Regions from separate parts of the Mus musculus genome. Here all the other regions are reported to be linked to region 2. The links are microRNA targets in miRTarBase. Many come from high-throughput screens and were not tested one by one. Region 2 holds a microRNA gene; each other region holds the end of a gene's coding sequence.
Evidence for each region. Region 2 holds the annotated microRNA mmu-miR-9-5p (UCUUUGGUUAUCUAGCUGUAUGA, at 4,496-4,518, shown strand). A microRNA usually pairs through its seed, bases 2 to 8, with sites in the 3' UTR of a target mRNA and lowers its output. Matches are read on the target gene's strand: a 7mer-m8 pairs with bases 2 to 8, a 7mer-A1 pairs with bases 2 to 7 and ends in A, and an 8mer does both.

Region 1 (7,117 bases), not on the chromosome of region 2:
GCCAACATGGTGCTGGAAAAGTAACTGGGAACTATAGTTTGATCTGAAAAGAGTAACACTGGACCTGGCATCAAGCCCATCCCCAGTGGCATACTTCCTGCAACAGGGCCACACCTCCTAATTCTTTCAAATACTGTCACTCCATGGTGACCAGCAGTATCACCCTGGATGAGCCTAAAGGCTTGAAGGCGCTGGGGGCCATACTTATTCAAACCATCATAGTATCCAACATCCTGAAGTGGAATTGCAATTTGGAATAGTGGAAAGCATTCTGGGTCCTGCTCTGAGTATCCTCTGTTCTGCAGGGGGACTCTCAAGTGCCAGATTCCCAAGACACTTGGATAGGGGACTGGCAGGACCAGTCCACAGTGAGGAACAGTTACCTCTATCTGACTGGGTCTTCTTGGAAGAGCTTAGCCCACAGTGAGTATAAAGCTCAGGGAATGATGTCTGCAGGATTTACTGGCCCTGTATCACTGTCCCACCACCCTGGCGTTCAGGTCATTGCAGAACCTTCATCTCTGTTGTAGGCCGCAGAGCCTCGATGGGCAGTGGCTGCTGCTCTGCCTCCAGCCTATCCAGCTTAGGGGCCTGCTTCTCCTTCCCCTACCAGGACTTGGCCAAACACATTGTCAGCACATCAATGGCTGATGTGAGTCTCTGGATCTATTCATTCCTCCCTCCTCCTGTTGCTATAGCTGGACTTACATTGGTTGGGGAGGGAGACAAAAGGAGTTGGGCAGATTAGGGCCACCAAGGCACTGAGGCTTCAGGAACTCTTTGACAAGTGGGCATTTAGTAAATGTTAGCCATACTGATGAACCTAGAGGCCTCGCGTCTACCCTCTGCCCCCAGGTAATGGCTGCTTGTTCGGATAATCTCCACAACCTCTTCATCCGCCAGGCGACAGATGGCTGGAAGTAAGTTATTTTGCCGCCATGCTTTGGTCCTTCTGCATTATTCCCCTCCTCTCTGCTCGGCTCCCTGGCACACCCCATGCTAGCAAATTCTTTTCTGACTGTTTCTTGCCTCTGGTGTCCCCAAGCTATCAGGGTGAGGAGCAAGAGGTACAGCTTTACTACAAGGAATTCTCTTCCACTCGACATGGGTTCTTGGGTGCAAGTGTGGTGTCCCAGCCACTCTCTCAAGTCTGGGCAGCTGTGAGTGATCCCACTTTGTGGCCTCTGTATCACAAGCCCATCCAGACAGCAAGGCTACATCAGCGGGTGACCAACAGCATCAGCCTGGGTGAGTCTAAGGGCTTGAAAGCTTCCAAAGGCCTGGCAGGGAGTCAAGAGGTAGAAGGTCAAAGCAGCACTGTTGGGAACTCTAGACTTCTCAGCAAGACCACTAGGGATCCAGTTATGGAGTAAAGCAGGGGCTTCTTAACACTGAAGAACTAGGATTCAATCTGTCTGTCTTTCTAGTGTACTTGGTGTGCAATACCACACTGTGTGAGCTGAAGCAACTGCGAGATTTCTGCTGTGTCTGCGTGGAAGCCAAAGAGGTGCCCATGTTGGGGTGGTAAAATGTTATGGGATGAACTTAGGCTAAAGTGCTGTGAGGTGCAATTAGTGGGGTGGCTTGAGTGCTGAAGGTATTACCTCTGATCACCCTAACTATACTCAAACCTGTCCGTGTTTTGTCATTACACAGGCAGGACTCACATGTATCTCTGTCCCTAGGGGTGCCTATCAATCATGGCAGCTCAGTCTGTGTATGATGCATCCATGCCAAGACCTAGCAGAAAAATGGTCCGAGGAGAGATCCTGCCCAGTGCTTGGGTCCTGCAGCCTGTCATCATAGAGGGGAAAGAAATAACCAGAGTCATCTCCCTTGTCCAGGTGACACAGCACTACATCGTCTCATGGCACACCTTGGGATATTTCTCTCCAGTTGCATAGAATCCAAGAATCCACAGTTGTCATGCCATTTGGTCAGAGTGGGCTAATAGTAAGGGGAATCAGAGAGGGAGGAATAAGCAAGTTGAGTCTTTGTGAAGCTCCCAGCACCAGAGATTGACCGACTTATATCCTGTGGCGAGCCACAGTGTCCTTAGGAAATAGATGGACTATTGAAGCTGAAAGCAGCAGCAGACCAGAATCCTCACTTACCTTCTTGTATGGCTCTCCATTCTCAGGCCAACTCCAACTTCATCACCGGGAGGGGAAAGCTAGTACTCAGATCTAAATGCTCAGGCTGCTCCAGGCTTGTTTGTATCTTCAGTTCTTCCTTCTGCTTTCAGGTGGAGCTGGGTGCACCAGGCTTCCCTCCCCATCTTCTCAACTCCTGTATCAAACAGCAGCCATTGGTTGTGGCCAAGCTGGCATCTTTCCTTCGTAGTTAGCATTGGGCCACGGAGACAGCAATGCTGAGATGTAGGCCCAGGACAACTGAGACTCTACAGCTGCTTCTAGACCCTGAGGCAAGAAGAGTCCAGGCTGCCTGCTATACAGATGGTATAGCCAACTATACAGATGGCACCAGCCCAGGGTTGCCAGTAAAACCAGTACTTAGTTACCTCTGAAGAGTGAACAACCTGAAGCTCCTGTCCAAAGCATGAAATCAACTCACCCTCAGGATTTCTCACCGTCATTTCCTGCCTCTGGGACTCAATGGCACACCACGTGTTCAAAGACTAGAAGAAGCACGGTCTGGAGAGCTGGAGACTACAGTGCTTTGGCAAGGTGCCTCCTTTGCAGGCAGGCACTGGCCAAGGGTGCTCTGGATCTGCCTCCAAAATTTAGCTCCATTGTGTGATGGAGTGGCAGAAAGGACCAAAGCATATAGTTTAAAGAGTCATCTATCTGTACCAACCAGATTCTGACTCCGAATTCTCTCTCATTGAACATTTACAAACATTTTCTCTTCACATTACTCTCCCCACTCTGTGTGTCACTGTGTAGGCAGTACAGTGGGAGACAACTGAAGAAACAGACAGGGTGTGGGGCCTGAAGACCAATAGGTAGGGACAGCCACATGCTGCTTGCAAACAAGGTAAGAGGGATTTCAAGTCTTAGAGAGGATTAAGTTTAGCACAGGCCTTGACCTTGTACTAACATACCTCAGGTTCCCAAATGCTGGGATTATAGACCTCCCACACCCAGTACCTACTTCTTTGTATATTAGTAGGGTGTTGTGGCACATAGCTCTGGTAGTAGAAGCAGGAAGACCAGAAGATCATCCACAGATGGCCAGCCTGACACATTAGACCCTGTCTTAATGTCTTAAGCTCAGTACTTTGAAAGATGCTCAATAGTTATTTTTGTTACTTAACTGTTTTAATATGATAGAAAAAGGGTGGTTTTTTGTTTTGTTGTTGTTGTTTTGTTTGTTTGTTTTTTGTTTTTGTTTTGGATCTTGGCCTGGTTGAACACTCTGAAGATTTTCCATGTTGATTCAGAAATGGTAGGGATAAGAAATTCCCTTTTTTCCTGTCACTCCAAATCTTTGATGGAAGAAGGTTCTTTTAGGATTTAAGACTGGTTAAAGAGTAAATTTCTTTAGATTTTCTATTCTTTTCTATTGCAAATTGAATGTTTTAAAATTTGCTTTGGATTTATCTTTATGGTAGTTTTTGGCAATATTTGATAATGCAGTGTTACACATATGCCTACCAATTTCCTCCCTGCCCCCTTCCTTTTTGTGTGTTTTTTGAGTCAGGATCTCACTCTGTAGCTTTCCAAGTCCTACACTAAGGCCAGGAGCTACCATGCCCAGTTTCTACCTCTTTTCATTAAGTGCTTTACTGAGACTATTAGCCAAAAAAAAAAAAAAAAAAAAAAAGTCAAAATATTACTCGTAAAAAATAAAAAAGCCAGGTAGTGGTGGGGCACACACACATTTAATCGGCACTCAGGAGGCAGAGGCAGGCAGATTTCTAAGTTTGAGGCCAACCAGGTCTACACAGTGAGTTCCTAGGTAGCCAGGGCAACACGGAGAAACCTGTCTCGAAAAACAGTAAACAAATAGAATGTGCCATTGAAGGTGATAATGGCAGTGTTTACAGTTCAGGGTTGAGATTCTACATTCATCGGCTAGTGTATGAGCTCAGCTACTGTAGGAATCTGACAGCACAGGGTGAACGGCCCCTCCTGAGACCCGAGTCAGCAATCTGAAGCACACAGTCAACTCTCTAGAGCTTCATCTTCCACATCTGTACATTTAACCATAGATCAAAAGATATTCAAGCAAAGTTTCTTGTCATAATTATTTACATATAGTTACATTAATTAAATCATTTCTGGATAACATATTAAAGGATACAGAAGGGGAAAAAAGGAAAACCCAAGAATGTGTATAAAAGGATAAATGTAGTTATAACACTATGCCATTATATATTAAGATGGTTGACCACCATGCATTTCCATATTTGTGGGCCTGCACTGATCCTAGAGAGTATAGGTATCACCGAGGCTGGGTCTGTTCCTGTCCAGGCATGGAGAGCTCTGTAGAAAGTCCCAGGTGCCTCGAGGCCAGTGGTCCGCAAAACACACAATACAAATACCACTATTACCCAGAGGCTGCTTTTGGTAAGAAAGAAGTTCTGAGGTAAATCAATCAGCCATTCCAGTCCCTACAATACAAATATTATTAAAAAAAAAAAAAAAAAAAAAAAGAGTACTTGGTACAGAATGGAGAATAACTAGTTCTCTACTTGAGTTACCTGCCTGCCTTTACAATCAGTTGTTGGAGCAAGCTGTTCTAAGTGCACCTTAAGACAGGCTCGCTTCATGGCTGAGTCCTTCAGTCAGAACAGTTTTCTGAGCTTCAGGCTTTTGGCCTGCTGCTCACCTTTACCAGGACTCAGCTTTCTGATACTTCTAGGCAAAGAAAGAGAAAAACCATGACTATCCACTGTGCTTGGAGCACTTGCCTCACATGTGAGGCCCTACCTAGGTTTGATAACCAGTACTGACAGAAACCAGCAGTTTGCCATTAACATGTGTGAGGCCCTATCCTAGACTTGGAAAAGGAGTTAAGGAAGAAGAGGCACACACCAGAGGGTTAGTAGCACTGGGGTGTAAGTTTAGAGAAGCTTAACTTAGGTCAAAACCCTTTTTGCCAGCTGCAAAGTTTTCCCCTAAGATTTTGCAGTTGACTTCGAGTTACCATTGAGCACCTCTGATACTTCCACTAAAGTCTGAGTCTTACCTCCAAAACAAACAACAGTTGTCAGGGATAAAGCACATTATCAAAATACTATCTTTGGGCACATGGTGGCACATGCCTTTAACCCCAGAACTTGGGAGGTAGAGGCAGGCAGATCTCTATGAGTCTAAGGCAATCCTGGTCTACAGAGTGAGTTCTAGGACAGCCAGAGCTACAAAGAGAAACCATGTCTTGAAAAGGAAAACAAAAACCCTTAAAATCAGCTGGTTACAGGGGCTGTCAAAATAGCTTAGGGCTAAGCCCAAATGACCTGAATTTGAGCCCTGGGATCCACATGGTGAAAGAACTGACTCCCAACAAGTTGTTCTTCAACTTCCAGAAGTGTGCTATAGCACTTGAGTGCAGTCACACTGAGTATAATAAAAAATTTAAAAATCACCTCATTTATAGAAATGAGGTCTTGCTAACTATAACCCAGAAGGCTGCTTTTGGTCAGAAGGAAGTTCTGAGGTAAATCAGACATCCCAGGGCCTACAATACAAATACCACCACAGCCACCTGCCATGTGGGTCAGCATAGACAGCAGGGAGTACATGGATAGTGGATGATGCTAGTTCATAGCAGACTGTGTCTCTAAGACTGGCTCTCAGCGTGACAGACGCAAACATCATGAAGAAGCAAAGCAGCTCGCTTACTGCAGTGCACAAAGCCCACTTTCAGAAAGGGGATGAAAGCAGGGAGAACAGCCATCACAACCTTGTTAAAAGTTTTATTTTAAAAAAGCCCAAGCCCCTTAGATTTTCTACATCAGGCTTGGTCTGACTAGTTCCCTGCAAAGAGGTGACGGTCCATAGAAGACCAAGTTTCACTTAGGCGAGTCCTACCTTATTGGCTGTCAATATTTGGGGATAAGGGTGATAGTCCAGCTTCTGGACACAAGAAAAGGTAGACTTCCAAATCCATGTTTGTCAACTTTCTCACAAGCAGAAGTTCTTTGCCTATTAAGATTTCTCAGAACCACAGTTTTAAGAGATGCTGGGATAGCAACTTGAGGCTCGAAATACATTGATCAGCACACGCATTTCTTTTAGCTGGATTAAAAACGCCAGCCCTTCTGTTCCAAGATCGGAGTCTCTGGGCTTTTCCACTGTGACTCTGAATCAGGTTCTCCTTCCTCTAGATCTCAGGTGTTGAGGCGGGCCGGTGTCTGGATGCTTGAAGCAACACACTTCCTTCACTTAGGAGCAGCAAGCCCGGTTACACACCTGGACACTCTTGCCCCAACAAGGCGTGCAGTGGGGTCTTGAGGCTCCTCCTGAGGCACAGGAGGCAGGTTCTGGTGACATGCCCAAGAGGGCTGCTTCCTAGCCCTAGCTTTGGGCCAGTACTGTCCCTCGGTTTGGTTGCATAAGTTCACAAGCTCTTAGCTGGGGTTCTAGCAGATGGGGCTCAGCTAGGAACAAGCGAAACAGTGTTGACAATTCTTCTGAGAAGTCCTGAAGTAAGTAGAAAGGTTAAGAGAAAAAGTAATTCTGGATGTTCTGTCCTTTCCAAGGTCAATCCTAAATAAGCACTCACAGCCAGGAAGACACTGATAACCCAGCGGTTTCATCTAATGTCTTCTATGCAAAAGCAGATACAAATCTCCATGACTGGTAAACTAAGGTTTATTAATGTATGACAAAGCAATTAACATTAAGACTCCTTACCCCTGGCCACTGGGCCTCATTAAGGCGGCCTAAGCAGGCTTCTATCTCCAGATGTCCCATGAGATCCTTTTCTACCAGCTCCCGGAGTAAGAACAACAGCAGATCCCACTGTAAAACACCACGGAGAAAGTCAAAAGTTGTCAGGATCATTGAGTAGTCCTAACAGTAGAGACTGAAGACTGGATAGCAGTCCCAAGAGTAGACATCTGAAAGGATGGAGCTGGGGTTGGAGATAAAGCTTAACATGCTGTTAAGAGCAATTCCAACACTCAGGAGGCAGAGGCAGAGGTAAGAAG
Region 2 (7,117 bases):
GTTCAAATCCCTAATGTTTCTTAAGTCTCTCTTCTTTCCAAGCTAAAAATAAAAGGAGAAAGAAAAATTAATTTCCCAAACCCCTCTAGATCCTGCATATTTTGCATTCCCATTATCATGCATGTCTCCATTTAAATGCAAATTAGCATATTTAACCCTGTAGGTGCTAAGGCCCAAGATAGACAGTACTGGTGTTTTATATAATCTATTGGCATTAAAAAAAAAAAAACACAGTAATAGTGACCCTTTAAATTAAGTCATATTCCTATATAATGATATATATATATACATATATATATATACTGTGATCATTTGTTTTATTGTCTGTTTTTCAGATGACACTTCAAAGAAGCATAAAATGAACAGACTATTCAAACAAAGGTAATTTACATTTTTTTATTTGATAAAACCTGACTGATGTACAAAACGAAAATAGAATATTGTTTACTGGAAAACAGGTCTACAATCTCTCACACATCTTCTCTTGCAACAGATAGAATTCCAGAAACATCTAAGTTCCTCTGTGTACAGTTATTTCTCCTGTAGGAGCCTTTGTATGGATGTAATACACACATATATGTATATGCATAGAGCATGACATAAATAAAACCTGCAATAGCCTATAAGAAAGAAGCTCCTATTTAGAGGAAAGGGTAAGATACTTTTATTATAATGAAAGCCAGTTCACTTCATCACTTGGACCATGGACACTAATGTAAATAAAATGGCTTAAAAAATAAGACAATAGTAGTATTGACTGTAGACTACAATTTGCACATTTGTAATTCTTATAAATGAAATATTTAAAATGATTTGGTGTTGGGCCAGTTCCTTATGCATTCTGCATTCATGTGTATAGGATTCAAAGACGTTCCAAATATTGATCATAAACCAAGTGTATATGAATTAATTAAATAGCATATTTCTGGCCCAAATATGAGGAAAACCATAACTTTTTACTGTAAATCAGGAGAGATTGTTTTATCCCCAAATAAACTAGGATGTTTCAAGTCATGTTTCAGCAATTTGGAGACCTACAAACTATCTGCAAGCAAGCACAACAACCATACTCTAATCTACTAGATAGTAGTGAGAATTTAGTGCTTGAATTCAGGCTGCTTGAATTCAGTATATCCTTCTCTATGCTGATTTTCAAGTAGATATTCTGTAGCTCAGCTAGATAATCTTTTAAAAGCAAAAAAAAAATTAAGTTTAAAGTGTAGTTGCTAAGAGCTGCTCTTCACAGGTGACATCGCTAGGAGTCTTTGAAGATATGTAATTGTAACGTATTGTGGGGTATATATAATACATACAATAAACCATTTTATAAACCTTGGCAATCTTATAAATAAGGGGGCACTCGATGTTAAATCTTAGTATATTTAATTTCTTCTGTGTGCCTGTGAGGTTGATAGAGAGTTAAAATATTTAATTGACTACATTGCTAATGAACAGACTACCCATAATCCTGATCTTGGCTCATTTCACTCATTGGAGTTCCCATGATGAATACCAAGCGTGGAGACCGGCCTTGTAGTAAGTTGGCATGACTAGTGTTGCCCTAAGAATGTGGTATTTATTACAGCATCTTATTCAGATTCTAGTGGGAGAAGCGTTCAGATATGCAGTGTGTTAACTCATTGTAGATATTGTTTCTAAAAACACATTTTATTGTTAGGTATGGGAATAGAGTCATAATAACTTTCAAATTCAGAAAATATGTGAATAAATAACACCCTCCCAACACATAGATATATATATGTAGCTAGCACACCTAGATACATGTGAAGAAAAGAGATTCTATAAGACCATTTTTGATTTCTTGGGCTTTGGCTTACACAGTTGACTATATCTGATCACGTGCTTATTTTATGTAATACAAGCCAAATCATTAATTACTCTGCTGCTAGTTCTTGGAAAGCAAGGCCACGGTGCTCTTTAATCTTCCAAGCTGCAAAGCTCATTAGGATTTTTACATGATGTCAGAAGTGGCATGCGCTTCACTGAGTTGTTTATGCTGTGACCATATGGTTTAGGAATGAACAAAAACTCTATGAACATGCCTTTAGGATTGGATTGTAGTGTCCGTGTGTATTTTATTTCTGACTTCTCGTTCATAATTTGAAGAGAAATATAGACGAACTCTTTCCACATCTTAGTCTTTTCTCAATAGCCAGTTACAGAATGCTTACCATAAAAGTAAACAAATTAATATAAGGACAAATTGGCATCTCTGTTACTAAGCTGTAAGCCATATCTTAATTGGTGTGATATGTTTAAACTCTTCATTGGAGATGTTTCCTATCATTAAAACACAAACCAAACAAACAAACAAAAAAAACTTGTCAGTCTCTTCTTTACAGAGTTTAGATTTTAGGGCTCTGTATGTGATTAAATAACCAGGTTCTTATTTATGTGTTAAATGAATAAATTAGTGAATTACTGAGAAAAATTTTATTCCAAAAAAATTAATAAATCCAAAAGTATTTTAGCCACTGGGGAAAATAGACACATTATGGAATTGAGAGCATTGTGAGGCACAGGTGATGTGTGCAATGTACATTTAGAATTACTAATTCTCCTTTAGCATGTAACTTAAAGAAAAGCAACATTACTAAAAAATAATTAGTAATTTGAACAATAATCCATAATGTTTACCCACAGAGAACATGCTTCTTATGTAGATTACCATGAATATTTTGTTGAGAGGGATTTGAATGTTAGATATTAGATGTGCTAGACAGATTATCTATTATAAAGGATGAGAAAGAAAAGGATTCTTTGAAGTGATTTTAAAGTCACACTTTAAAAACTCCTAAGACAATGAATGAAGCTAATTAATTAATGAAATGACCTTCTGCTTCTCGATAGAAGGATATGAGTGGGTGGGGCCAGGGAGGTGTGGTAGCTTCCCTCCCTCCCCATCCAGGTGTTGGATCTACATGTTCAGGAGACAAGACTTTTATTTTAATTTTATAAGCAAGTCTAGTGCATTATTGTCCAGTGTGAAATTTATGTTAAAACAGTAGACAAAGGCTCAGCATTTTTGCTACAGCAGAGTTGTGTACAACATTGAAACTATTGCTGCAATGTTTACCTGTGCAGCATGCTAACCCCCACACACACTCTATATGCAAAGCATTTTTAAAAAAGAAGCCCCACTGTTTAGATCGTGCAGTTCGAACTTACAGAACAAATATGCTGCCCTATCGCCACGGTACACAGATAGAAAACATGACTGAGCTGTAAAGCCATTAAAAACATAACACCAAAGCAAATTGTCATTGTAACCATCGACTCACTGCGTAAAAACAGAGCTGATTCCCAGCCCCAGAAAGCGAGGCCCTGCTTTAAGCAATAGTAAAGTGCCTTCCATCTGCCTGCCTATGCAATCTGCCAGAAGAGAAATGCAGGCAAAGAAGTTCCCCAGACCTGAAATGCTTTTATCTATCCTTAGAGAGAGATTTTCTCCATTCTTTGGATATTAGAGCGATCTACACTAGCGCCAAGGAGGTAAAAGGCCGCGGGTTGCTTTTCAAGGAGCAGTCCGTAGTGCTAGTGGATGAAATGTTGATTGAGAATATAGGGACTGCTGCAAAGCTGCTGCTGCCGTCGCCGCCACCGCTGCCGCCGTCGCCGCCGCCGTCGCCTGTGCTACTCCTGGCAGCAGGCGTGGGGCAGTTGGGTGACCACTGATGCATATCAATAACCATGTACTTGAGATTTCTCATGACATCATCATTACCTTGGTCTCCCGCAGTCTCAAACCTTTGACCTTGCCGGGCTGGTCCACAATTTGGCGGTGAAAGCCCCTCCAATGATGGCCCTTTTCTCCTTCTTTCAGACCGGGGCAGCAGTACGCCAGCAAGAGGGCATGCTCTGCCCGCCTAGAAGTCCTAAGAAATCGAGGATCTCCCTTAAAACATTCACATACAAGATATGTGCAATCAAGCTGCCTGCACTTGGTAAAAAAGATCATGATGCCTAACCCAATGATCCGGAGCAGATCTTTGAATCAGCTGTCACTTCTATAGAATGGGATTTCCCCCTTCTTCCTCTTTAACCAGCGTTGGAAACTGCCGATGGCTTTATACATCTCAGTAGAGGAAGGCTAAAGAATCTTCCGTGAGAATGAAGCAATTTACAATGCAAATAGAGGCCTGTGAAGAGAAGGACACTGCTGCTCACCCCCAACAGCTTGCTGCACCTTAGTCTCTGGTCTTAATTTCTGATACTCATAGATGAATTGTTGGCTAACGATACTGGAGATTACTTGCTGGAAGGGGAAAAGTTTGGAATAAACTCTGAATGCAACAGATCTCATTTGGATGTTCTAGCCGCACACACTAAGACAGAAACCAGGTCATGTTTACATGAAAGGAGAAGCTTAAACGCGGCAAGTACCCCGGAGGACTACGCTTCCCTAAAGCCAAAGAGGATCGAGATCTGGAGTTCAGCCAGAGGAAGGCAGCCTTGTGAGGGAAGCGAGTTGTTATCTTTGGTTATCTAGCTGTATGAGTGTATTGGTCTTCATAAAGCTAGATAACCGAAAGTAAAAACTCCTTCAAGGTCACCGAGGAACGTTCCGGAAAGAAAGACTGCAACCAAGAGACAGTAAAAACCAGAAAGGTCAGGAATGCTTATTGAATCTAACTTTTTTTATCTTATGATTGAAAGTGGGATGCAAGAAAATTAAGTGACACGCATATTGAAATCTAAAGGGGCCAGGCTTTGAGGGGCTTGTACAACTGGAGAGGAGAATTGTGTAGTGTTTTTTACGGGTGACGATGCATGTATTTTCTATATTGTTCATTTTGAAGCAAACGTTTACATATGAGGTTTTTTTTTTCTTTTTTTTTCTTAGAAAGCTGTTATAGTGATGTCTGGTACCTCGCTTAAAAATGATTTCATAATTATGTAGATTTGGGCTGTTCCTATCTGAGGCCCCTCCCCCAAGTTTGAAGCTTGTGCCTGGAAACTTTCTATGTATTTGGGTGTGTACATCAAATTCTGTGAAGTTAGACTTTCAGTAAAGCTTATACTGGAAGGTTAATAATTTATATCTACCGAAGACTTAGAGCTAGCAGGGAAAAGGGGTGGGGGCAAAGGCTGATTTTTATTCTTCTATTCAAAATACAAGGACAGATGCTTCTCTGTTCCAAGAGGGTTTCCTTGAGGAAGCTACTGAAGCAGAAAGACATGATGGAGACGAGATCGCCTCCCCTCTTGTCAAAGTGTTAAAAAAATGTTCTGTCTTACTCTGCGCCTAGCATTGGAAATGAAAGTGACATTTACGCCACAACCCACGTGTGCGCCTCCTCTCTTTTTGTTTAAGGATGATCAGGTCTATCCAGGAAACAGCTCTGGCATCCCAAACTGAAATAATTAGGACGTATATAGACCTGACAAAAATGGAAAGGGGGTGGGGAATCTGAGGGTCTGTCTTGCCTAATTGATTCCGCTAAACGGAAAGCAGGAGATGTGAACGGCAGGACGCTCCGATTCCCACGCTCGGGGGCAAGTGGTAAAGCCTGGCCGGCAGCCTATGACAGACAGCCCTGTTGGGGGGTAGGGGTATGAAAAAAACATCAAGCACACACACACCATACTCATCTCCATCGCTTAAGAAAGTAAAGGCATTTCCCACCCACAGCCATCTGCAGCCTCCCAAATGGCAACACCAACTGGTTGGTAGCTGCTATGTACTGTCTCTGTTCATTTTTAAACCTCTGTTTAATCTGGCCATGATTAAATTTGGATTTCTCCTTTGGTTGAAATTTTCACCATTTAAGGAAAACAAGTGGAAAGGGTGCCAAGAGTGCCCCAGAACTGCATGCCCTTCTCAGAGAAGTCCTCAGTATGTGGTTAGGGCCTTGTGACCACCTTTGGCTTTTGTTTTGGCTGTGTTATATTTTAAAGTCATGTCTCATAGCATTCATTATTATGACTTACTTCATCGGGTTGTTTACTTCCTTGTGTGACACACAGGAACTTGGCCTACTTATGCTAATCTACATTCTGGAAATAAAGCTATAAAGTCATCAGTCTGTAGAAAGTTGATTACAATCACAATATGTTAGAGAACTTGTTTTGTTTTAGAATTGTCCTAGCGGATGAGCTTTTTTTTTCCCTTTTCCCCCTCCTCTTCCTTTTCTTCCTCCTCTTCCCTCTTCATCTAAAAGTCACTAGTCCCAGCATAAACTTTGAGGCTTTGGAGAAACCACTGTAGTCCTTTTTTGAAGTTCCTTGCATCCTGTTACATTTTATCAGGCAAACATTTGTATAGGCATTTGCACATAAATACAAGCATTGCAATGAGAAAAAAAATTCCAAAATTGCTTCTTTTCTTTCATATGGCCTAAATTACTGACACTCCCAAATGCATAAGTTTTCTTCAGGGACAGTACATTTTTCTTTATAGCTTCAACTTCTTGTAAGATTGACACCAGAGAAACCTGTAAAGCCACTGGTAGTTTCATTTAGAAAAGCCAAGAGACTTTAATAACACAACTTCTCAGTTTGGCCGCTGTACACGTGCCAAAGTTTGACTGCTGTAGAGGCAGTCGAGAAGACCCTTGCTTATTTACCTTGGAAGCACTGTTTGTGCAAACAAGCTTTCATTGTTAAGTGCCTGTATTCCTTTCATTTGCTTCATGTCCAGGGGTGCTATTTACCTAGAACCATTGTCTACTACAATTAACATTTACATTACAAAGTGTGTGCTTTTCTTTCTCAAGGAGGTTCAATTAAGGCAATAAGATGTTTGCTGGGGAAACCTATTGTTTACTCAAAGCTCTCAATGGAGTCACATTACTGAAGTTTTTGCCTACATCTTGGGTCGTTTATGTAAATATGTTAACTATAACATCTAAGGAAAATAAACAATATTAAAATTATGTGTTTGCCATTGTCATATCCAACTTGCTTTGTATCATACTAATGTTACATAACTTATCGATCAATAAAAATACATTTCAATGTTATTTTCATTTTACTTTTTGCTGTCCCACTGCTCCTGCTGCAACATGTCCCAGATTTTCTTTTTTTCTATTACACATCAAACTTCTGACATTTTGTTTTATTTGTGTGTGTTGAAGGAGGTACCATATCTAAGCAT
Region 3 (7,117 bases), not on the chromosome of region 2:
TTGGGAACAAAGACTCATGGACTCCCGAGAGCTGGTAGGAACTTCCAAGTGTCTCTAGCTTTCTGGGAGATTTGAGGGCTGCCTAGTTTATGCAGGGACTTGTGGGATGACGTGGATAGGTTTTCTAGTGTGTTAGAAGATGCTGGTACTATGGAAGGACTTCTTAAGACTGTTTACTTTATCCTGAAGGAGGGACTTGGGGTTGAGTGTGACCCAACTGGGAAATCTTAAGCCATGAGGCCCTTAAGGTGTGTGTTTGCTGCCTACCTTGTTCTGTTTCTGCGGGCATGAGGAACCCCGAGCCCAAGAGAGTTCAAAGGAACACAGTCCCTTCTGACTGATGCCTTCTGTTTGCATTCTGGGATTTTGGGTCTTCTGAACCTGGGTAGCTTATGGGTATTGAGTAAGTTGCAAATGTCCTTAACCAGACCTCCTTGTCCCTTGGCTCTGCAGAGCTACCCTCCGCTTCTACCGTTCACTGGGATTCCTGAACCTTCAGAGTCTTTAGCTGGGGCAGGGAGCCAGGGCTGGGGCAGCCGCGGCTATGAGGACTACCGGCGATCTGGACCACCGCCTCCACCTCTTGCCCTGTCTACCTGCGTTGTGCGCTTTGCCAAGACTGGTGCATTGCGGGGTGCAGCCCTGGGTCCTCCAGTGTCACTCCCTGCCCCTCTCACAGAGGCTGCACCCCCAGCACCCCCTGCTCGTCCACCCCCAGGTCCAGGCCCCACCCCTGCTCCAGCCAAAGCCTCCCCAGAGGCTGAGGAGGCTGCACGCTGTGTGCACTGCCGAGCACTCTTCCGCCGCCGGGCAGATGGGCGTGGTGGTCGCTGCGCAGAGGCCCCTGACCCAGGTCGCCTGCTAGTGCGCCGGCTCAGCTGCTTGTGGTGTGCCGAGAGCTTGCTGTACCACTGCCTGTCAGACGCCGAGGGTGACTTCTCGGACCCGTGTGCTTGTGAGCCAGGCCACCCACGCCCTGCTGCGCGCTGGGCTGCTCTGGCTGCTCTGTCTCTGGCAGTGCCCTGTCTCTGTTGTTATGCGCCCCTGCGCGCCTGTCACTGGGTTGCAGCACGTTGTGGCTGTGCGGGCTGTGGGGGTCGCCACGAGGAGGCTGCACGGTGAGGATTGTTGAGCTGGTTTGGAAATCGGTCTGAAGACCCAAAAATTGAAGGTCCAGGACCCTGAACAGCATATGAACCTAAAACCCAAACTTAGGTATATCTGGAACTTGAATGGATTTGAGAGATCCCAGATCTGGTACCTGGACCCCAAACTGAGGACTGAGATACCGAGGCCCTGCTTCATCAGGGTGTCTGCCCACCCGAAGTCCTGAATTCTGGATTCTCCATACCTTTTCCCCACTGAGAAGACTTAGAATATTTTCAAACATTGCATCTCAAGGGGCCCAGGAGCTCACATCTTGGACCCTGACTCTGTCTAAATGCCCAACCCAGACTTCAGGTCATACTTGACATTGTAAACACTCATCTTACGGCCCCCAAACTAGTCAAGAGTTACTCAAACTTGACACTATTATCAAATGACTTAGACCTTGAGACCAGAGGACCCAGAATCACCAGAAAATGGTCCCTGAATTTTCACCTGAGACCTGGTATCTTCACATTTAGATGCTCTTATAGCCCCAGGATGGTTTGGAATCACCAGATACTGGCCTGAACTCTACCCGCTCCTGAGAGTCCACAGACATTGCCATCAGTTCATGTGCAAGTGACCCGCAAATTCCCTAGCACCCCAGATTTAAAATGTATTAACTCCTTAGATATCCTCACATATGAGGTATTTTCAGACCAAAATTACTTGGGAGGCTCTTTTCAGAGCTCAGCAAGGTCCAGATATCAGATACCAAGATGCTGGGGGGGGGGGGGGGGAGCCAGGCTCCAAACACCTACTCCTTAAGCCAGCCATGAGAATTTGAGTCTTGTGGATGGGCTCTGAGATGCCTGGTATCCTTAAATGTCTGCCTGAAGGCCACCTGCACTTTGGGCCCAACACACTGGTTTGTAGAGATTAGCTAACCTTCCGGTTTCCCTTAGGCCTGAATTTTAAAATATTCTGGAAACATCGGCTTCCTTCTGCCTACACTCCCCTTCCACCACGTTGGGTGGAAGCCTGGAACTTAGAAGATGCGGTGGTCATGGTAACCCAGGTCCTTCATTCCTTGACTCTCAGCCCGAGAGCAAATCCAAAGGGCTTTATGAGCCCTGGATCTAAGACCCAAGATGCCATTGGACCCTGGGTGCAGGAGTCAAGCCCTCACAATTTTGGGATTGGTTTTGGCCTGACACCTTGATCCCTTCAGACCAGAGACATTCAGCAACAAGATGCCACAGTCTTTCAGCACCGTTAGGCTCCAGGTGTTCTTGAATTCAAAGTACTTGTAGACTAATGAAGCCCCCATTTCCTCACTACCTGATTTCCCCGTCTCCCATGTCCTGCCATCCAGAGGCCCATAAAACTGAAATGCCCTAGCAATGCCCAGACTCCCACCCCCACCCCCTTTATCCTAGGGCAGGGTACTTAAGCCAGTGTAAATTCAGATTCCTGGAATCCGGGATCACCTAGCAGTTTCCCCTTTCCCCTCTCTAGGGCCTGGCTTTGCTATGGAAGATTGTGTGCTGTCAGCTCAGCAGAGGCAGGCAGCTACAGGGATCAAGCAGAGACCGCAGAAGGCCTACCCTTTGCACACCTGTAATTCCGGGGCCAGCAATTGATCCCCAGAAGACCCACCCCCACCCCAACCTTGCAGATTTCCCACACTATAACCCCTAGTACATTCAGGTCCCTCCCCTGTGAACCTCTTCCATCTCAGTTGGGGGTTGCTCTGAAAAGCTCAGTATTGTTTTGTAGTACTTCCCCATGGAGAAGAGAGGAGCCACAGCCTCTTTTCCCTAAGTAGAGACACTAGGATCAGGTGTCCTGGATAGGAGAACTAAGATTTCAGAGCCAAAGTCTTGATGGTTCATGGGCTTAGGACCTACATCTGGCCCTAAGTACCTGGGAATGTACACTTGAATCATTTTTCATTACCCAGACTTGGGTGGCCTTGTGGGGGTTCAAGGGATGAATATTTGTGTCACTTCCTTTAAATTATTAACTATTTATTGTATCCGGAACCTGTGATTCAGCTCCCCCAAGCAGATCCTGGGATGGGTGAGAGAAAATGGGGAAAGAGGGTGTCCCTCCCATCCCCCTTCTGCCCAGCTCTCATCAATTGTCAGACCCACCAGAGCTGAGGGCAGAGGGACTGGGGGCTGGGGCAGCCTGCGTCCCCATCCTCTCTTTGTGCCTCGGTCTCCCCCCCTTCCATGGTAAGCGGGGGAAGCTCCATTCTTAACCTACCTCGTTTTGGGAAGGGGTGGGGAGGGGGACCAGAGTGCTGTATGGTGCTGTGAGATCTTCGGATTAAGCAGTGGGGACTTGGGGAAGGTTCCCTAGTCCCCCATCTCCAGTACCCCCTCTCCCAGGTCCCCTTGCCCTGTTCCTTGTCGATACCCACCTCTGATCCATGATTACCTTTCATTGCCCCCATATCTGGGGTGCATGGAGGACTGAACCCTGGGAGCCAGGAAGACCTCAGATCCTAGAGCTCCCGAGCCCAATTTTCCAGCTGCTTGCCCCCCAGACCTTGGGGGAGGTCCGCCAACATTTCTCTTCCTGATCTTGATTCCAAGCCAGTCTGTAACCTTGTTAGTGTCAGGGCAGGCTGATGTGGAGGGAGGATGGGGGCCAAAGACCCAGCCTTGTCATTGGGGGAGGGAGGGGACTTGAGATCTGCTCCAAGAAATGTCTGTGACTGTGTCTCCGCCTGGTCTTTATTCGTGTTGGTGCGCCCTGTCCCCTTGTTTACCCGAAGGGCTTGTCTTTACTTCTCGTCCCTCTACATTCTGCAGTCCTGAGCTGGTCATCTGGCTGGTTTATATGTCCAGTCAAGTACATTTACTAAGCCCCTAATGTGTCAAGCCCCATTGTGACTGGCAGCGACACAGTGAACAACGGGAGGGGAGGGGGTTCAGTGGGTGTGCGCAGGGGCCAACCAGCACTAGCCATTAAAGTAGGAATTGGGCTGGTAAGTTGGGAATGGATTTAAGCAAGGTGGATCCTGGGAGAGGAGGGTGGAGAGGCTTTGAGTGACATTTTGTTACCCCAATGGAATGGAGTTAAGCAAGGTGGATCCTGGGAGGGGAGGGTGGAGAGGCTTTGAGTGACACTTTGTTACCCCAATGAGTGAGATGGGACCATAAGAAGGCTCCCAAGTATTGATTTGCATTTTCAAAGGCTATCGCTGTGTGAGGAAGACTCCTGGGGTCGTCCCTGTGGAGCTGCAGGTAGTGTCTGTGAGAGGGAAGAGGGAGGTTAATGGATGTTTGGAAAGACTCCATAATTGAAAAGAAATGTGCTCGCTTGCCCATAGGTATGTGTATGCACCACCTGGCTCCTTGGTATCGGGCTCCCTAGAACTGAGCCATGTGGTTGCTGGGAACCGAAACCCAGATGCTCCGTAAGTACTCTCTTGCTTAGCTCTCTCTCCAACCAGAGCTCCTAGGTTTACACATGGAGTTTGACAGAAGGCTGAAAATGTTGCTCAGTGGTGGAACACATGCTTAGCATGGGCAAGAGCTTGAGGTAAGGCCCAACACCAAAGAAGGAGTAAAGGTTATTAGCCCAAGGATTTTGTTTTGTTTTTAATATTTTAAAATTATATGTGGCTCCATGCATGTGACCTGGAGTTTCTGGTGCTTGTGGGCCACATACATGGAACTTGTGGTGATCTTCCTATGAGGACACATGTCTAAGTCACCAGATCTGGTTTTGAAACATTATTTTGTATTTATGTACATGTGTGTTTGCAGGGATGCCCAAAGAGGCCAAAGAGCATGGTGGATCCTCGGGTGCTTACGAACCCCCAGAGGTCAGTGCTGGGAGCCAGCTTTTGAGAGAGCAGCAAGTCCAGTTCCCCGACTTCTTGGATTTTTGTTTTTGGACAGGGTTTCTCTGTGTAGCCCTGGCTGTCCTGGAACTCACTCTGTACATCAGGCTGGCCTCGAACTCAGAAATCCGCCTGCCTCTGCCTCCTGAGTGCTGGGATCAAATTCGTGCGCCACTACGCCCGGCTTTACTTGTTATTAACTAAGGATGCACCTTAACATATGGACCATAATCCTCACACTTTTAAGAATGAGTGCTTGAGGGGGCTGTCGAGATGGCTCAGTGGGTAAGAGCACCAACTGCTCTTCTGAAGGTCCTCAGTTCAAATCCCAGCAACCACATGGTGGCTCACAACCATCCGTAATGAGATCTGATGCCCTCTTCTGGTACGTCTGAAGACAGCTACAGTGTACTTACATATAACAATAAATAAATCTTAAAAAAAAAAAAAAATGAGTGCTTGAAACATTGGGTGTGACACAAACCTATAGTCCCAGATCTTGGGGGGCTAAGATAGGAGGGTCTTAGTGAGGCCAGATTCCATTTAATATATTAATGGCTGGAGAGATGGCTCAGTGGTTAGGAGCACTTGTTCTAGCAGAAGACTTGGGTTTGGTTCCCAGCACCCACACAAGACTTCACGACCACCTGGAAGTCCTGGAAGTCCAGTTGCAGGAGATTGTAAGCCTTCTGACTTCTGTGGGCACAAGGTACGCGCACACACATGCACACGCACACACACACACACACACACACACACACACATACACACACACGACATTCAGGCACATAAAACATATACTTTATTGCCCTTGGATCCCAATCGCATAGATGGAAAAAACCAGTTTGGCAGAAACATTAGCTGGCAAATGGAGTCAACCCCAGTCCCATCGGCTTGCCTCCCCCTTAGGATGGAGTTTCTCAATGGCATCTGCTTTTTCTTTCGAAGGCCTACAGAGGCAGAGAGTCTGGCTAACACTGGACCCACTGTGAGGTGGAAGGAGGGTCTGGCTGAGGTGGGAGAGTGGATGTGAAGACGTGCTGAAAATCTAATCCTAAAGTGGAAGAAAAACAAGTCGGATGGGACTTTCGGTCTGGGGTGCACTAAGAACAAAGGGCAGCTGGGCGTGTCACACGCCTGTCAACCAGCAAACAGAAGGAGGAAGCAGGACTAAGAAGCCAGCCTGAGCTACATAAATGTATAAATCGAGACCCTGCCTCCAAAAGTATAAAAGTTAAATAAGTTGCTTTTTGCTTTTTTTTTTTTTTTTTTTTCTTGAGAGTCGGACAGTAGGGACACCCGAGCCTCCTGCGACCTCGTAGATCCAAACCTCAAGCTATAAAATTTACACTGGACAAGTTACCTGAAGGGTGCGCGTGGCGCGCGACCAAGCCAATAGGAGCGTGGAAGCGCCTTCGCACGAGAATATGGTTGGATAGCAGCGGGAGAGAGGAGGCGGAGGGAAGAGGGGGCGGAGCCTTTCCCTGGCGGAAGGGGGCGCGCGCACCGGGTCCGCAGACGGAGTTGCCATGGATGGGGCCATGGTAGCGGGTGACCTTCTGACACTGGGGTAAAAGATTCGGTGGTGTGGCCTGGGGGTACGGGAAGGGCGCACTCGCCTGGGGACGCGGACGCAGAGGGACTCGCACTGACGCGTGCCCCGCCGCAGGTACGATGCCCTCCCGGAGGGGGCGTCTCGGGGTCCCGCGTGTGCAGACTTCAGGGCGCTGTGCGCGCGGCTGGCGGCCGAGCTGACGGCTCTGGGAGCTCTGGAGCGGCGAGAGGAGGGCACCGCAGTGCTGGGCGCCGGCCACGGTGCGTGAGAAGCTGGGTGGACGGCGGGTAGAGCCGCGGAACCCGCTGCTTCCTGATGGCTTCTTCCTCCCGCAGGCCCGGACACAGAGGAAGAGTTCCTGCGGCAGTTGGCCGGCTGGCTGCGGGCGTTGCACTGCCCGGATCGCGCGCTCTGCGGCGGAGACTGCGCCACCGTGCTGCGGGAGCCCGGCGGCGGCCTGCGTCTGCTGCGTGAGCGAGCTTGGAAGGCCCAGGGTGGTGGCGGTGGGCGGGGCCTCTGAATGGGGCGGGCTCTGACGCTCAGACTGGACTCCCGTGGGTGTGGCCAAAGCTTTGCGGCGAGCTTGAAGGCCGCAGGTAGATAGGCTAGGGTTA
Region 4 (7,117 bases), not on the chromosome of region 2:
AGGCAGCAGAGATGTGGGCGAGGCTGATGAGGGGAAGAGAGGAGCTGAGCTCCACCCTGACCCGACTACACTCCTGTCCACAGGCCCACCAATTCCTGTCAGACCAGTTCCACAGTCCTCAGCTAGCAACTCCCAATGTTCATCCCGGCTCCAGGGAGCAGCTGTCAAGTCTTCCAGTCGACTCCCTGTCCCTTCAGCCATCCCCAAGCCTGCCACCCGAGTGCCACTCATTGGGCGGAGTCTACCACCTGGAAAAGGTGCCCTAGCTCCAGATTCTCTCTCAACTCAGAAAGGGCATCCAAGCGCCATAGGGCACAGAGGTAAGATAGAGTGGACAAATGGTCAGGCTTAGCATGGTGGCACATTTCTGTAGTCTCAGCACTCAGAGGGTAGACACCAGAGAATAAGACGCTCAAGGCCAGCCTTAGCTATATAAAACCATGTCTCAGGAGAAAAAGAAAAACAAAATAGAGTCGGGCAGTGGTGGCGCACGCCTTTGATCCCAGCACTTGGGAGGCAGAGGCAGGCAGATTTCTGGGTTCAAGACCAGCCTGGTCTACAGAGTGAGTTCCAGGACAACCATAGCTATTATGGGGAGATCCTGTCTCAAAAACCAAAGAAACAAAACAAAAACAGAGAACCTTAGATAGAAGAATGTCTGCAGTGACACGGCTTGATCTTCCCCCACTACAGCTGTAACTGCTGTTAACACTACTTTCACGTAGTGTTAAGGAGGGAATGCCTTGCTTTCTACGTGGCTCATGGTTTTACCTTGGTCAGGAAACACATACCTTCATCCAGTCTTTCTGATGACGTCAGCTGAGCTTCGTTCTAACTCATCTCTTGTTAATTTCCATCAAGCCTCTGTTTCCCAGAAAACAAACCTTCCAACCACCAGTGCGGCTCGAGGCAGGACCACCAGTGCCGCTCGAGGCAGGGCGCAGCCCCTCAGGAAAGCTGCAGTCCCTGGACCGACTAGGTAAAACTGGTCCCTCTGTTCTCATCACCTGGGCTTCCAAGCTGCGGTGCACACAGCATCCTCGAATTCTGTGTTGAGTGGGGAGGAGAGGGGTGAGGGGTGCTACTCTCCCATCCTGAGGGGGTGTGAGTTTGGCTGGGTACCAGACAGGCTCCGGAGGAAGAAGGTTTTTTTAAAGCACCCCCCCCCCCCTCTTCTTTCAGGTAAGAAGAGCACGTCAGCAAACAAAGACTCAATAGCAAGCCACTACCATCTTAGCCATCAAAGTCTGGACTCTCCTCTGCCAGTGGTCCCTAACTCCAGTAGCTCTGTGCCCAGAGATGGGAGGAAGAGATGCCTCCAGGGCTGACCTCTGAAGTAGAGACTATGGGGGATCGGGTGCCTTGAGCTTGAGGGGACTCAACCCCACCCTACCCTGCCCTGAAAGAAGAAGAGAGGGGCAGAGGTCATCTGCCCGTGGAGAAACTCACAAACAAAATAATAAATGCAGGCAGAGTGACCTATCTGTCTCCTTCCATCTTGTGGTCAGGACTAGAGAGCTTGATCTTCTACCACGGTTCACTGGCCATTCCCATATGAGCGGCCTTAGGAGCCCGCCGGCTCAGTTCTCTATGACATGTCTTCCTGACTGGATACTGGTCTGTTTGGAAAGGCCAGGAGGACAGCTGATGTACAGAACTTGTTTCCTATGAATTCTTTGACTTCTCACAGGTCAATCAGTTATAAGCTTACTCACATCTTCATATTTTTTCTTAAATAAATGAATTAAAAAAATTTTTTTCTGTATATCTGAAAGTAGATTTTAACAGTTTTAAAATAAACGTCTGTGTAATTCTAGTGAGCTCTCAGACATAGGCCCTAGGGATTTGAACCTCCAGCTCCTGCAGCCGTGACTAGTCCCTTGGTGCCGGTCAATTCCAATCAAGTCTCCTTTCTCCTTTCAGTGTTTACAGATAGTCCAGATCAAAGTTGACTGAGGTTTCACCTACAGCGCCTGAGGCTGTTATGGTAGGAACTAAGTCTACTGTTACTCCTTAGACTTAACTATTATTTGACAAGACAATGGAACCCCTTAGGGGATAGAGGCCCTTTGTTGGTGTTGCTTCTGAGGTTGCCTCTACCTCACTTCATTAGGGTTGCCTGTGCTCTCTCTCTGCTCCTCTGCTGGATCCGAGGGCTGGCATCACAATTTAGTAACTCTGACTGTGCCCTTGTGTTATAGCTTGTCTGGTGGAACACTGCAGAATGGACACATGGTAGTGAGTACTCACTGAAAACAGAATAAGGTTTTAACAAGCCCAGCTTAGGATCCGATTTGTAGCCTTTGACTCCTGCAGTCAGAACTAAATCAGTCCTTTATGAAGAAGAAACTTCCCTAAAGGCAACTGAGCATAAAGGAGAAAGGGTGGCCCGCTACTGTGTCCAAAAGTGCTCTTAGGCCTTCAGCGCTCCTCCCCTATCCCCACATCCAGGGGCCCTCCATAGCATTTCCTTATGGCTGTCCGTAAGATTAATTTAATAACACCTATAAATACACGGGGACTATACACAGTGGTGGCTGCCTCTACATTCCAGCCTCTACAGCCACTGAAATTCTCAGAGCTGACACGCGGGAGGGAGCAGATAACACAGATGTCATGGGTTCTGATTTGAAGAAATACGGTACAAGGCAAGAAAGTCTCAGGTGTGTTTCCCAGATTCCAGCCTATCTCCCCTCAAACAGCCTGGCTCAGGGGGAGGTCTTCTGGGTGGGCTATAGTGAGGTCAAGCTTACCAACCAGCCAGTAGCTGAGTCCCCTTGATCTCCTGGGGTCTTCCAGGCTTGCTTGTCCTGGGCCTCCATCCCAGTGAATAAGTCTGCACAGAGCTCAGGAAACAGAAGTTGCTGGCAACTTCTAACTGGCGTCTGCAGTAGCAGCCAAGCCTAAGAACACACACCTCGGCATGGCCAGTAGGTGGCAGGTTTGTTCCGTTTTGGTTGGTTGGTTTTGTTTGGTTTTGGAACCAAGCCCTTGTGGGTGGGGAAGCAAAGCCAGCCACAAGCCCTTGTGTTGCTGCCACCTGGTGGCTGGAGCCGGCAAAGCATTTTCTCTCACTGGGTCAATCTTGAGTTTCTGCCTCCACCCAATAGGGCTCGCTGACTCCAAACCTGCCGAACTCACTTGGTGGTAGTGCTTACCTGCCACAGCTGCCCTTCTTGTTTAGCTACCTGCTTGCCGCCTCCTCCCTGGCTTAGATTTCTAATTTTCTCTCCGTCCTCCACACCTCTTCCACTCCACAAGCAACAACAGGAGAAGCCAGTGTTTATTGGCCTCTTGCTATGCACTGTGAAAAGTTGTAAGCACTTTGCATGTGTTAAGTTATTTAATCCTCCTAAAAGCTCAATTAGGCAGCTGCTGTTACCACTGCCCTCATTTTGTAGACAGAGAACCAAGGCGCAAACAAATCAGGCTGCTGCTTGAGGTTCCAGGGTTGGTTCATTATATCCTCATTTGTTGGATGGAGCTTTCAAAAACAAAAATTAGGACTAGAAGTAGTGTCACCAAATACATACTTATTCCCAGAATGAGTGTATGCTTTATTCCCCCAAGAAAACAGACAGACAGACAGACAGCCCACAATAGCCAGGTGGTGGTGGCACACACCTTTAATCCCAGCACTTGGGAGGCAGAGGCAGACAGATCTCTGAGCTCGAGGCCAGCCTGATCTATTGAATGAGTTCCAGCCAGGGCTATACAGAGAAACCCTTACCAAAAAAAAAAAAAAAAAAAAAAAAAAAAAAAAAAAAAAAAAAGAAAAAGAAAAAGAAAAAGAAAAAGAAAGAAAAGAGAAAAGAAAAAAGCCCCAGAAACTCCCACTCCACTTCTTCCTATCTACCGAATTCTGCCTTAGAAAACGTGTTTGTCTGGGACTCAGGCTGAGAACCGGCCTGATTTGTGTAGCCTCTCCACCCCCTCCATCCTCTCCATCCTCCCCATCCTCCCCAGCCTCCCCAGCCTCTCCATCCTCCCCAGCCTCTCCATTCTCCCCAGCCTCCCCAGCCTCTCCAGCCTCCCCATCCTCCCCAGCCTCTCCATCCTCCCCAGCCTCTCCAGCCTCTCCATCCTCCCCAGCCTCTCCATCCTCCCCAGCCTCTCCATCCTCCCCAGCCTCTCCATCCTCCCCAGCCTCTCCAGCCTCCCCAGCCTCTCCAGCCTCTCCAGCCTCCCCAGCCTCTCCAGCCTCTCCAGCCTCCCCAGCCTCTCTAGCCTCTCCAGCCTCCCCAGTCTCCCCAGCCTCTCTAGCGGTACAAGCTTATATCCTAGGGGAAAACAATATCCACCTATCTTCCTTCTCTCCCTTCCAACCGCCAGACTCAGCGCTCTGTGCTGTTGCGGCTTTAGTCTCTCTGTCCTCAGGATCGTCAAGGTTCTACCTACCCTGTTTCCCACAATCCAGGCCTCAACCCAGGCTGCTTTACAGAAGCCAGCGATGACATGGCTCCTGCACAGAACTAGTTTATTCAGTAGTATGGGGGGGGAAAAAAAAACAAAAACAAAAACAAAACTCTACCATATTTACAGCGACAATCAAACTGTACAATCTGATGGTTAGTATCAAGTTAGCATCCAGCATCTTTGTATTTTTTTTTAAGTCAAGTCATCAGTAGTTAAAAAAAAATATATCCAGTTAAATTTTTAACCCTTTACAGGAATTGCTGAGGGGAAGAGGGCAGAGGGCAGGTGAGAATCCATGGCAGAAAAGCCAGCGGCCAGCCTTCCAAATGAGAGACAGGGACATCTTTCCTGCCTCCTCGAGCCTTTATTCTACACCTGCTCTAGAAGGGAAGTCAGTGACAAGTCTGGAATACATGCTCAGAGGAGAGGGGGACTCAAATGAACGGTGGTTGCAAAAACCCGAGGAGAGCAAATGGAGCGAGAGGAAGGATGGTAGGCCCCAAATCCAGGGCTGCCAGGGACTCACCCAGCCTGCAATGGGCACATGAGACCCCCTGGGGACCAGACACAAACCCATCCCAACACACACACACACACACACAAAAAAAAAACCCAAATAAATAAAAAATATATTAACTCTCTCTTCGCAGGGAGCTGGGGTCAAGTAGGGGGACAATGGGGACCAAGGACCTGGTTCTTTGAAGAAGAGAGCCAATTCCAGGAAGGGGTTAAAAATAGAACATGTCTCAGAGGCCACAGCAGGTCAGACAAAAAAAAATGGCATTTGTCTGATTTGGCGGGGAGGGGGTGAGTGGACAGCAGAACCCAGACCTGGCACCTGTGCTGGGGGCCCCTCAGGGCCACCATGCCAGCTCTGCGCTTACCCTTCCTCCTGGGACCGCCCACACAGCAAAGAAGCAATGGAAGAGTGACTGGCCCTACCTGCAAGGGTGGGCAGGAGAAATGAAGCACTTTGGGGTCAGCAAACTGAGCAAACACCTGGGCTGTAGCACATGGCCAGAGTCCAGGAAAAGGAGAGGGGCTGGGGTAGTCCTTCCCCATCACGGGGGCAACAGGCTTCCCCTTAAAAAACGGTTCATGCAGCATTTGGGGGGTCCAGGGGCCATGAGTCCTTCTGCCCCTGGCCGGACAGGGCTTGTCAGTTCCTGGGAGAGGTGGAACTGGCGGGTGGAAAGTGCCTTTGTTTTTTTTGTTTGTTTGTTTTTGTCCTGACCCCTCACCAACTGAGGCCTGTCTGTCCGTCTGTCCGGTGCAGCCTTGCAGGGGCTCCTGCCCCTGGTGCACGTGGCTTTGTCCTTTCCTTTTGGTGATGGCAAATGAGGGGCAGGCCCCCTAAGAGTCCCTCTCCTCCCAGAGGCACAGGAGATGAAACTGAAGAGAGGCTGGGACACGTCCTGGGTGGTCCTGTCCTCTTTGGGAAGGGGAAAGGGGAGTCCACTTCCGGCGTATAAAAACAAAAGTAATCCCTGAAGTCATGAAGAGTGGAGATCCTTTTTTTAAATTCTTTTTTCCTCTTTTTTTTTTTTCTGAAAAACTTTGTCTTGGAGATGTTGGCCCCCCCGAGGGTCCAAAGTGCAGTGAGGGGGAGGTGGGGGAGGGACTTGGCACTAGTTGGCCTTCTGGGTGCAAGGCCCAGGCTCCTCAGATGGACGGTTCGTCGCTGCTGCTTCGGAAGGCAGGCAGGTGGGCGGTAGGGAGCAGGGGCAGGATAAAGCAGAAGACAGGATTGGGGCATGAGCGCAGCGGGGGAAGGGGACGAAGGAACACCGGCCCAGGGTTAATGCAGGAAGTTAAAGAAGAGAAATCTGGAGAGGCAGGAGAGGAGAGTGGCAGAGAAGGCAGACAGAGGGTTAGCTGGAGCAACAGAGGGGACAGTGAACAGCTTCCACCAGAAAAAGAAACAGAAAAGCAGCCCCAGCCCCCACCCTCTCGCAAGACGGGGGACAGGCATTGCGCATAAAGCCCAGGGGGTCTGGTGTACCCCCAACAGAGCACCATGTTGTCTGGGCGCACAAGGGAGCTGGACTCCGCTTAGCCCAACTGCCAAGCAGAGTAGCCCGGTGAAGCTCAGAGGCAGCAGTGGGTCAGTGGCTTGGGTTAGCAAGGACCTCAGGCAGGTTCCCCCCACCCCACCCCCGTCTCTCCCGCCCGACTCACTCAGAGCCAGAGGAGTCCTCATCCACCGTGCCTGCCTTGATGCTCATGGCGACAGGCATGACCCCATTCAGCTGTTCCTGCAGAGACTGGCGCGGAGGTGGGCGGGGAGGAGGTCCGTGCCGACTGCCCTCACTGATGGAGGAGCCCCGAGAAGACCCTGTGCCCTGCTCCAGGGGCAGCCTTAGGAGGCTGCTCTTTTCGCTGATGGTGGGCAGACACTTCTTCTTGAGGATGCCTAGGTACAAGGTGTGGGTATCATGAGATGGGAAGTCCTAATAGCTCCGGCAAGAGAATGGGAGAGTGGAGCTGATGGGAGAGACTCCACTCACCTTTGTGAGGTTGGGTAGAAGGGCCCGGAAGGGGTCCCAGAGACCCTTCCCGAGTTAGGGCATCTCCATTCTCCCGTGGCCGCTCTTCAAGGGGCCCACTACCACTATTCTCCTTTGTTGTGGTCCCAAAGTCTCCCAGCCAAGGGACCTTCCCAGAACCCGGACCCCCATCTGTCAAAGAAAGGAAACCAATA

Region 1: the mRNA of Cdan1 is a reported target of mmu-miR-9-5p. Seed matches in the 3' UTR shown: 7mer-A1 at 5,206-5,212.
Region 3: miRTarBase lists Spred3 as a target of mmu-miR-9-5p. Seed matches in the 3' UTR shown: 7mer-A1 at 3,748-3,754.
Region 4: the mRNA of Celsr2 is a reported target of mmu-miR-9-5p. Seed matches in the 3' UTR shown: 7mer-A1 at 5,848-5,854.

The regions. Positions count from the first base shown.
Region 1 is chr2:120,712,320-120,719,436 of GRCm38, forward strand. It overlaps Cdan1 (congenital dyserythropoietic anemia, type I (human)), which reads right to left. Exons shown (of 28, transcript NM_026891.2): 27 at 6,822-6,929; 28 at 3,835-6,608. The coding sequence ends at 6,483. Stard9 (START domain containing 9) reads left to right here. Exons shown (of 33, transcript NM_001370940.1): 27 at 306-423; 28 at 531-652; 29 at 856-920; 30 at 1,046-1,248; 31 at 1,428-1,507; 32 at 1,686-1,844; 33 at 2,246-3,562. The coding sequence ends at 2,347. Among named protein-coding and RNA genes, the nearest start is that of Cdan1, 16 kb to the right of the region's middle.
Region 2 is chr13:83,734,326-83,741,442 of GRCm38, forward strand. It overlaps Mir9-2 (microRNA 9-2), which reads left to right and starts at 4,489; the gene lies at 4,489-4,560. C130071C03Rik (RIKEN cDNA C130071C03 gene) reads left to right here. Exons shown (of 4, transcript NR_152245.1): 3 at 336-381; 4 at 3,845-6,983. Gm51268 (predicted gene, 51268) reads right to left here and starts at 4,551; the gene lies at 4,496-4,551.
Region 3 is chr7:29,155,531-29,162,647 of GRCm38, reverse strand. Spred3 (sprouty-related EVH1 domain containing 3) reads left to right here. Exons shown (of 6, transcript NM_182927.3): 6 at 454-3,819. The coding sequence ends at 1,122. Fam98c (family with sequence similarity 98, member C) reads left to right here and starts at 6,438. Exons shown (of 8, transcript NM_001146023.1): 1 at 6,438-6,518; 2 at 6,618-6,763; 3 at 6,839-6,973. The coding sequence starts at 6,478.
Region 4 is chr3:108,386,417-108,393,533 of GRCm38, forward strand. It overlaps Celsr2 (cadherin, EGF LAG seven-pass G-type receptor 2), which reads right to left. Exons shown (of 34, transcript NM_017392.4): 32 at 6,924-7,094; 33 at 6,595-6,829; 34 at 4,432-6,242. The coding sequence ends at 6,215. Psrc1 (proline/serine-rich coiled-coil 1) reads left to right here. Exons shown (of 8, transcript NM_019976.3): 6 at 84-320; 7 at 862-979; 8 at 1,183-1,815. The coding sequence ends at 1,186. Among named protein-coding and RNA genes, the nearest start is that of Psrc1, 6.1 kb to the left of the region's middle.